2 linked regions of the Neurospora crassa OR74A genome follow. The protein of the gene in region 1 interacts with the protein of each later gene in a pairwise test. Links are inferred from orthologs where the notes say so. Each region holds a gene or a part of one and is shown on either strand. Other genes may lie near its edges.

Evidence for each region. The genes of interacting proteins can lie anywhere in the genome.
Region 2: the proteins of gh38-1 (region 1) and NCU04192 interact in binary tests that used the Saccharomyces cerevisiae proteins (3 or more experiments, as listed by UniProt). The link is inferred for Neurospora crassa OR74A from reciprocal best matches to the Saccharomyces cerevisiae genes AMS1 and APE1.

The regions. Positions count from the first base shown.
Region 1 is NC_026501.1:6,050,985-6,055,422, reverse strand, and holds the start of gh38-1 (alpha-mannosidase), read right to left. Parts: upstream 2,940-4,438; 5' UTR 2,471-2,939; coding exon 575-2,470; intron 516-574; coding exon 1-515. Other genes in the region: NCU16408 (hypothetical protein), read right to left, coding at 4,421-4,438. UniProt on the Saccharomyces cerevisiae protein: Degrades free oligosaccharides in the vacuole.
Region 2 is NC_026505.1:5,156,968-5,161,272, forward strand, and holds NCU04192 (vacuolar aspartyl aminopeptidase Lap4), read left to right. Parts: upstream 1-1,509; 5' UTR 1,510-1,650; coding exon 1,651-1,923; intron 1,924-2,019; coding exon 2,020-2,362; intron 2,363-2,420; coding exon 2,421-3,412; 3' UTR 3,413-3,747; downstream 3,748-4,305. Other genes in the region: NCU17026 (hypothetical protein), read left to right, coding at 1-3; NCU04193 (hypothetical protein), read right to left, coding at 4,259-4,305. UniProt on the Saccharomyces cerevisiae protein: Resident vacuolar enzyme that catalyzes the removal of amino acids from the N-terminus of peptides and proteins. Also acts as the major cargo protein of the cytoplasm-to-vacuole targeting (Cvt) pathway.

The sequences.
Region 1 (4,438 bases):
TTGGTGATGACGCTGACGCGATGCGTTTTTTCTTCGTGCACTTGGGTCTCGCTGGACTGGAGCTCCTTGCGCGTGTCGAGGTGATAGACTTCGACGTCCCAGGCTTGCCAGTAGAGCGGCTTGTCGTCGAAGATGACGAACTGGTTGGCGCGCTGGCCTTCAGGGATGACCTCGCGCCTGTCGTATTTGTCGTAGAGGGACGTGATGGTGCCGGCCTCGACACGGACCTTGAGTCGCTTATTCTCGAGGACGAAAACACCGTTGGATAGCTTGTGGAGCTTGACCCCGTCGTCCACTTGCATGATTTCGTATTGCTGGAGTTTAAGGAGAGGACCTACACCCTTGGCAAGGGCAAAATCACCCTTGGAAATCTCAACAAGCTCCTCGCGGTACCAGGGTAAAGTGTTCAGGGCAATGCCGCGCTCCACGCCCGTGGCGTCTACTTGGAAAACGCCTAATGCCTTGCATGCATCCCTCAAGAGCCTCTCACCGGTCTTGAAAATTTGAGCATAGAGCTGTCGAAGGGAAGTCAGTAATCCTTCATCACGAACAAACTAATCAAGCCCAAACATACCTTATCCGAATCATCATAACACATCTCAATTGAGCTGCCAGGGAGACAATCATGGAACTGGCAGAGCAGTGTTGCCTCCCACATTTCGTCGATTTCCTTCTTTGGATACTTGTAGTCCTTGTCCTTGAGTGAGGCAATCGTTGCGAGCTGCTCGATGTCCCTCAGCACAAACTCAGCTTTCCGGTTGAACTTTTTGTTGTTCGCTTGCGTAGTGTATGTTCCGCGGTGCAGCTCGAAGTACAGTTCACCAAACCAGGTAACCAGCGAATCAGCCTTCCGCTCGAGACTATCAAAGAAGTCATCTACCGAACCGCCCAGAGACACCCGCGGTAGGAGACCAACAGTATCGCTGATACCGCGGCAGCGACGAAGCTTCTCTAGGTGCTGCCACGTAGGGCCGCCACCTCCATCTCCCTTGCCAAAGACGAGCAAAGACGTATGATCTTGGTCGAGAGACTTGTGTTGTGACATGCTGCGCTTAACATCGCCAAAGTGGGCCTCGGCGGTGTAGGTTTCTGAAGGGGGCATGTGGCAGATGACCTGCGTGCCGTCGAGGGCAACCCAGTTGAAGGTTGTGTGGGGGAACTTGTTGATGTTGTTCCAGCTCAGCTTTTGGGTTAGGAACCGAGTCATGCCAGCGAGGCGGCAGAGTTGGGGTAGCTGACTGGAATAGCCAAAAGTGTCAGGCAGCCAGAATGTTTGGCACCTCTTTCCAAAGTTGCTCTCGAAGAAACGCTGGCCGTACACGAACTGCCGGACCAAGGACTCGCCGCTGGGCATGTTGGTGTCGTGCTCAACCCAGCTACCTCCGATAGGATGGAAACGACCGTCGGCCACCTTGCTCTTGACACGTTCCCAGACATGGGGGTATAGAGTCTTGCACCATTTGTATTGCTGTGCTTGTGAGCAAGCAAAGTTGAGTTCTGGGTAGCGGTCCATGAGGTCGCATTGGTTAGACCAAGATCGAGCTACCTTGCGCTTGGTCTCATCCCAGGGCCATAGCCAGCAACTGTCGATGTGACAATGGCCGATACCAAAAACAAGCGGTGCCTTTCCCCTCTTGGTGTCGTATACCCTGGCCGAGTCAACGTCCGGACCAAGGTACTGCTGAGCAATTTCCCGACACTTTTTGAGCGAGTCTTTATTGCCGAGCTCAAAGGCCTCGATAATCTCATTGCACGTCTTCAGCGCCTGATGCTGCTCCCACGATTCACTCGGGAACTCGCGTGCCGCATCACCAATGATCCAGATATCGATGTATAGCTGCCTCGCATCGGGGTTCACAGCCACAATTTCGGCCTTGTCGAGACGAAAGTGCTTGTTTGGATCAGGAGGCTGGATGATATCGCCCCCTCCCGCTGCACCAAACATGCCATTGCAGGCCATCTCGATGTAGATGATATGTTCCTTTCCGTCACGGAACGAGTCTGGCAATATCCACTCGGTACGCTCACCACCGCCCGTTAAGCCCTGCAGCGGCTTGCCATCGTGCGTCCAGACCATGCCCTCGTTATTGGCGTCCCAGTGGAGTTCGAGCAGCCTCTTATCGCGCAAGTCCTCGGGGACCGTAAGGACAACCTTGAACCAGTGGGTCGACCAGGCAGGGCCGAATCGAGCGCCGACTTCTGTCTTTCTGAACTCGTGCTTGACGGCCTCGTCAAAGGTTGGTCGATCCTGGTCGGGGGCATCCCAGACGAACAGCTTGACATGGGGCTCGCCCTCGGCGACACCCTCGTACATCATGGCGTTGAGATTGTTGTGCTCCCATTGTCCCTTTGCGTAAAACTGACTGATACGATCCTTGTAGATGTTGGTGATGTACTGGCCGACCGGCTTGGGTGCGCGTAGCGGGTAAGCCGAGATGGGCTTGCTCTGAGTTGCTGATTCCCCGCCCATCTTGATATAGTGCGGGTATATGGTGTTTTGATAGGGGGTCGAGCAGTCGACGGGGACGGGGAAACGAGTATTCTAGGATCTTGCCGGGAGGGCGGGCGCAGATATAAGCTCGAGGAGAGGAATTAGGCAAGGTAGGTTTAGAAATCGTCGGTAGGTAAGGTAGTATGGTTCAAGCGTAGGTCATAACACGACAAGTCATCCAACAGGTTCTCAAAAGTAGTTGAAGAAGGTTAAAGCGTCTGTATGTTTGGCTATATCTCTGACGAAACTAACGAAAGTGCTGTACACATTGGAGCCAACTGGAATGGACGGTATTGGTATTGGTATCGTATGGTTTCGGCTCGCGAGGCCAGCGAACACGTCTAGCGGGGGGGGAGGGGTCAATCGCGGGTCGAGGGTCGAGAAGGAGGAGGATGATAATGATGATGATGATGGAGGAGGAGCAGCAAAAGGAGCAACTACGTCTAGGAGTGGGAGGAAACGAGGAAATGCTTCCACACTTGCAAGAGGACTGACGGCGGGACTGACCAACGGGGGGGGGGGGGGGGGGGTTGGTTCTCGGACCCAGTCCTCTTGCCCGCCAACCTACCTAATGTTTCCTTCCATCGCTGTCCAGGCGAAGCGCTGAATGGCAGGCTGGCAGCTGGCTGGCCCCGAGATAGGTAGGTGGTTCTGGCTGTCCTGGTGCAAGCCTGGGGAGGAGGTCGGGCTGCTGAGGTGGTCAGGGAGGGAGGGGAGGGGGAGTCAGGGCCGGGGCGGTGGTGGTGTGTCTAATCCCCGCCCGCCTAGGGTACCTCTAGTGCGGCGCAGGTGCTGAGCTGTTCCTGCTCGTTTGTGCTGTCAGGGCTGAGGGTTCAGGTTGTGGCCGGGGTAGATCCACTGCAAGCCACGCCTGAAACACCAGAAAAACAGCAAGTATGGACACGGGGGGGGGGGGGCAAAGGGAAGGGGTCTGGGGGGCACAAACCCGACGCAATGCGGGGAGGATCCAAGTCACTCACATGTTCACCATTGGATCCCTGCTCTGGGCTGACTTGGATGATTTGATCCGCCTGCCTGCGGCTGGGCAGTCAACCCCATTCTTCCTTCCTTCCTTCCGGCCTGCACTCTGCAGCAGAAAGATGAAGTGAGTGCAACAGGGCAGCGGCTTGTACAGCAACAGCCAATTTGGACCCCAACATGTCTGGAAAGTTTCGAAATGTCGATGCATTACACGCACGCATTACACGCATGTCGGTCGATCCTTTTCATTCAAACGACGAGGAACCACGACAACATGCCTAGCCGTCAACAGTTCCTGTCCCGTTTCAGCAACCGCGTTGGCCGACCATACATCGTGAAACACACTACACTTTCCAGGCCTCGATTTGGCCGAAATTTGAACTACATGATCTTGTCTTTCTTCTGCTTCTTTTCTTTTTACATCTTCAAGGTAAAGTTTGCGAACTTGCTTGCAATAGCGTCCATCCGTCCTCCAATCCGAAATAGCGAATCAGATACGCCTCCGCCGGGTCGTATTTCCGCAAGTCTCGCCTTTTCTCTTCACACCTCTGCCAGCATTTACACTAGAATACTCTGTCAGCGCGGTAAAATTGCATGTGGCGATAACTTTGGTTTTCCTACAGAGAACGGTTGGTATTATGCCTGCCGCCAACCAGTCAAATTCTGCGAGGTGGCGGTACCACGCTAACAGAGTGCATGCCGGCGGAGATGTACAAACAGGTAATCCGCGTAGCGCTTGGCCCCCATTTCTGTCAAGGTGGTTTTGATTGTAGATATCTCGGAACAAAAATCAGACAACCAAGACATAGAATGGAACCTTGACAGCATCTGACACATACACGTACAGACTGAGAGAAAGACAGAGACAGAGAGAAAATGATAATTATGCCCAAATCATTTGTACGTCAAGCCTTCATAAGACGGCTCATGATCGTCAAGTCGCCCTCATCAAACACAGATCGAAGT
Region 2 (4,305 bases), on another chromosome or scaffold:
TAAAGGGGAAAGGCACTCTACTGCCAATTATCTTCTGCGTACCGTTTCATCCGCTTTTTCCAAGTCCGACCTGAGATCACTCGCCCTTCTCAAATTCTTCTCTCGCCCCTGGTGGAGTCGTGTCTGGGTTGTTCGAGAAGTTATCGTCTCTCGGCGTGCAAATATTGTATTCGGAACGAAAGAGATCTTGGAGTGGAAGAGTTTGAGCTTCAGATGATGAGTGCACTTGTCGATAGGCCAGTTTGCGACGACTGATGTACGAATATCTACACCAAATGTGCCCTATAAGCAGAAAGGGGAATGGAGTTGAAGACTATGTTCAAGCTCGCCTGTTGGTAGATATTCAAACATACTCTTTACTCTCTCGAAAAGATAATGTCAGAGGACGTGTTACGGTCAGTCTCGTGCTCAAATCTCCCTATGGGTTCACTATTCAACTTCACTCTTCACAATGAGATATCGTGCCAGGACCGGAATATACTGGACAGAACTTGGGCTACCTCATGCTTTATTGTTTGCACACTTGCCTTATAATCCAGCTGTGTTCGTGAACACCTATCGCAAGGTCGTACAAATATGATAGATTTGCATGAACCTCAGCTCTATCCAGCACATGTCGCTATTGGTATTGCCAAGTGAACAGAGCACGGATACGGGTACCATATCCGACTGACCTGACTACATGTATTGGAGAGATTGTCATGTACCAGTTTGGAATGCTCACTTTGATGATTCAGAGTCTTGATGGATTGCTCGACTATTCTGCATGCTTGAACGGACGATCAATTCTGATGTGTTTGTCTCGTAATCTTTTTGACAGCACCATATGTCCGGTGAGCAAGACCCATCCGACTTAGAATATGAGACCGAGTTTGCTAATTCCGTGAGGTATCTCAGGAATGCGGTATCGACGAGTGAATCTGGACGCAAGCGGATGACTTGATGAAACACTCGTCGGGTACACAAGATTGATGCTGACTGACAGAAGCAAAAGACTATGGACGCGAACAGTTTCACTCTGAGATGTTAAGGATCAAAAAGGATTGAAATTAGTAAGTGCTTTTCTTGTACGTATTCTGCTTCATCATGGTCATTGAAGTGAAGGTCAATCAAATGTGCAAATGTACAACTGAGCTGGGAGAGCTCTACCTGCCTTATACGATGGACCTCTAACCCAGGGCTGCTTATCACTGCAGCGCACCTTAGCGCCGATCTTGCCCTGGCATGAGGCAGGAGCCGGGGGTTGGGGCCGCGGGGACATCAAAGGCCAAATCCGGCCTATCAAAGAGCTCATTTGATGGGATCAAGTACCCCACCGAGCCCACCATGTAGCTGACTCCAGCTGCCCAGAACCGCCTAGCCAGTGATAAGCGCGTCACCTGGACGGATTGTTGGCAACCGGGGTACCGCCTACTCGCTGTGCTGTACCCTGTAGCTGTAGGCTGTAGCTGCAACCTATAGCCGGTAGAGGTAGCTACCTACTGTACATGTACACCTTTGTAAGTGGAAGCTGTTCACCGACCGACCGCCTTCCTTTCTGTTGCCATCTCGTGCGTGTCATCATCTCGTCCTCTTGTTCCTCCCTGTCATCTTCTCATTTCTCTTCTCTCCAAAACATACAAATCCATCCGCATCACCCAGATATACACAATGGTCCGCGCCACTCCCGAATATCTCGCTGCCCGTACATCCATGATGTCTCTCCGAGCGCAAGCCCTCGAGCAGTCCATGATGGCCTCGCAAACATACTACGCTCCTCCTCAGCAGCCCCAGCAGCCTGTTGCTGCCAACCAGATCAATGCCAAGGACATCAAGCCCGAGGCTTTCACCAAGCCATACCTCGAGTTCATGACCGAGAACCCAACCGTTTTCCACGCTGTTGGTTACTTCAAGGAGAAGCTTGACAAGGCCGGCTACAAAGAGGTAAGCCGTCACAGCTTCCCAGCCCCCCTCCCGCAGTTGAAATACCACAACCGAGGCACAAGGACCGAAACTGACTAAGCGCCTTGTAATTTGTAGCTTCACAGCAGAGACTCCTGGTCTGGCCAGATCAAGCCCGGCGGCAAGTACTACACCACTCGCAATGGCAGCTCCATCATCGCCTGGGCCGTCGGCAAGGCGTATAAGCCAGGCAACGGTCTTGCTATGGTCGCCGGTCACATCGACGCCCTCACAGCCCGCCTCAAGCCTATCAGCACCAAGCCTAGCCACGATGGCTATGTCCAGCTCGGCATTGCCCAGTATGCCGGCGCTCTCAACAGCACATGGTGGGACAGAGACTTGAGCATCGGTGGTCGTGTCATTGTTAAGGATCCCGAGACGGGCAAGACCTCTACCAAGGTCGTCAAGCTTGATTGGCCCAGTATGTTGACTCCCCCCAACCCAATTCCATCCGATGAAAGCTAACACACACTTTCCAGTTGCTCGTATCCCTACTCTGGCTCCCCATTTCGGCATTGGTATGACGGGCCACAACAACCAGGAGACCGAGATGACCCCCATCATTGGCCTCGATAACAGCGACCTCAACTCCTCTTCCACCGCCTCCTCCGAGAAGCCCATTGGCCCCAAGGGTTCTTTCGTCTCTACCCAGCCTCCTAAGCTCGTCAAGCTCATTGCTTCCCAGCTCAAGCTTGAGGACTACACCAACATTCTCAACTGGGAGCTCGAGCTCTACGACTCTCAGCCCGCCCAAGTTGGTGGTATCGACAAGGAGTTCATCTTTGCCGGCCGCATCGACGACAAGCTCTGCTCGTGGGCCGCTTTCATGGCCCTCCTCCACGCCCGTGACGATGAGGACTCTGGCGTCATCAAGCTCGTAGCGCTTTTCGACGACGAGGAGATTGGCTCCCTCCTCCGCCAGGGTGCGCGCGGTAACTTCCTCCCCATTGTTATCGAGCGCACCGTCGAGGCTCTCGTTGCCAACACCAACACTCTCTACCAAAATGCTTTCATCGGCGGCACCGGCCTCGGCCCCGGTCTCATGGGCCAGACGTACGCCAACTCTTTCCTCGTCTCGTCGGACGTGACCCACGCTGCCCACCCCAACTTTACCCAAACCAACCTGACCGATCACTCTCCTCGCTTGAACGTCGGTGTGGCCCTTTGTGTCGATGCCTCGGCGCACATGACCACGGATAGCGTGTCCATGGCCATCCTCGACCGCGTCGCCGAGCTTTCTGGCTGCGTCAACCAGAGGCACATGATCCGCAATGACAGCCGGTCCGGTGGTACCGTGGGCCCTATGCTCAGCAGTGCTATGGGTGTCAAGGCGGCGGATGTCGGTATTCCCCAGTTGAGCATGCACAGTATCCGTGCCACGACTGGTAGCTTGGACCCCGGTCTTGGTGTCAAGTTCTACAAGGGTTTCTTGGATGAGTGGGAGAAGGTTGATAAGGAGTGGAGGGCTTAGATGTCTGGTAGGACTATTTGTTTGATCTAACTTGATGTGTTTATGATGGGACTGGGATGGCGTGGTGTTAATGATGGGTTTCAATCTGTAATGAACTGAATTTGATGAGTTGCTTTTCTTGGATAAGAGGGAGATGATTTGACTCGGGTTTGATGTGACATTATGGTGCATGCAGGGAGGGGTGGTGTGTTACTGCGCAGCATAGTCTTTCGATTTCCTATCGTCTTAGAGTAGTGCATATGGTATAGATGATAAACTTTGTAGAACAATGTGATATCTACAATTTTGATGGCCAGTAAGCTTCTTATGCTCTCTGGTAGAACCAGTAAGATACGCAACGTGGCCGTGACTGGGCCATTTCCTATCAGCCGTGCGAGAGAATTTATCCAATGACAAAGGTGAAGGGCATTTTCGATGGTCAGGTTTTCTTGATCCAAGTTACAAAAGGACTTGGTCGTGGAGATTAATTTGGATCTTACATAAGGTATATGTAGATGTATCAATGGGTTTCAAATAGGGATTGCGCTCAATATCACGTTTAAAGAGAATGATTCGTGTCTGGTAAAACGAGGGTCAAGACCATAAAGACGTAGTAGTATATCAACATCGCCCGTTTCTATGCACGAAACGAACAATGTTTGCTGTGTTGTTTAGCCCTCCGTCCAAACGATCCTAAACAAAAGCCAACGGGTATCACCAACTTCACGTCTTCAACCGTGCCTTGCCTATCCAGGCTCTTTCTTGGTCCATGTCTCCACAATATGATGACTTTCAATGATCCAACGCCAATTGTGCTACCAACACATGCTTCCTTCCTCGAACATGTCGAATCCTCAGAATCCATCCTCAGAACTTGGTTGGAATGAAATGCTGCGAATCTTCCTGCTGCTGCG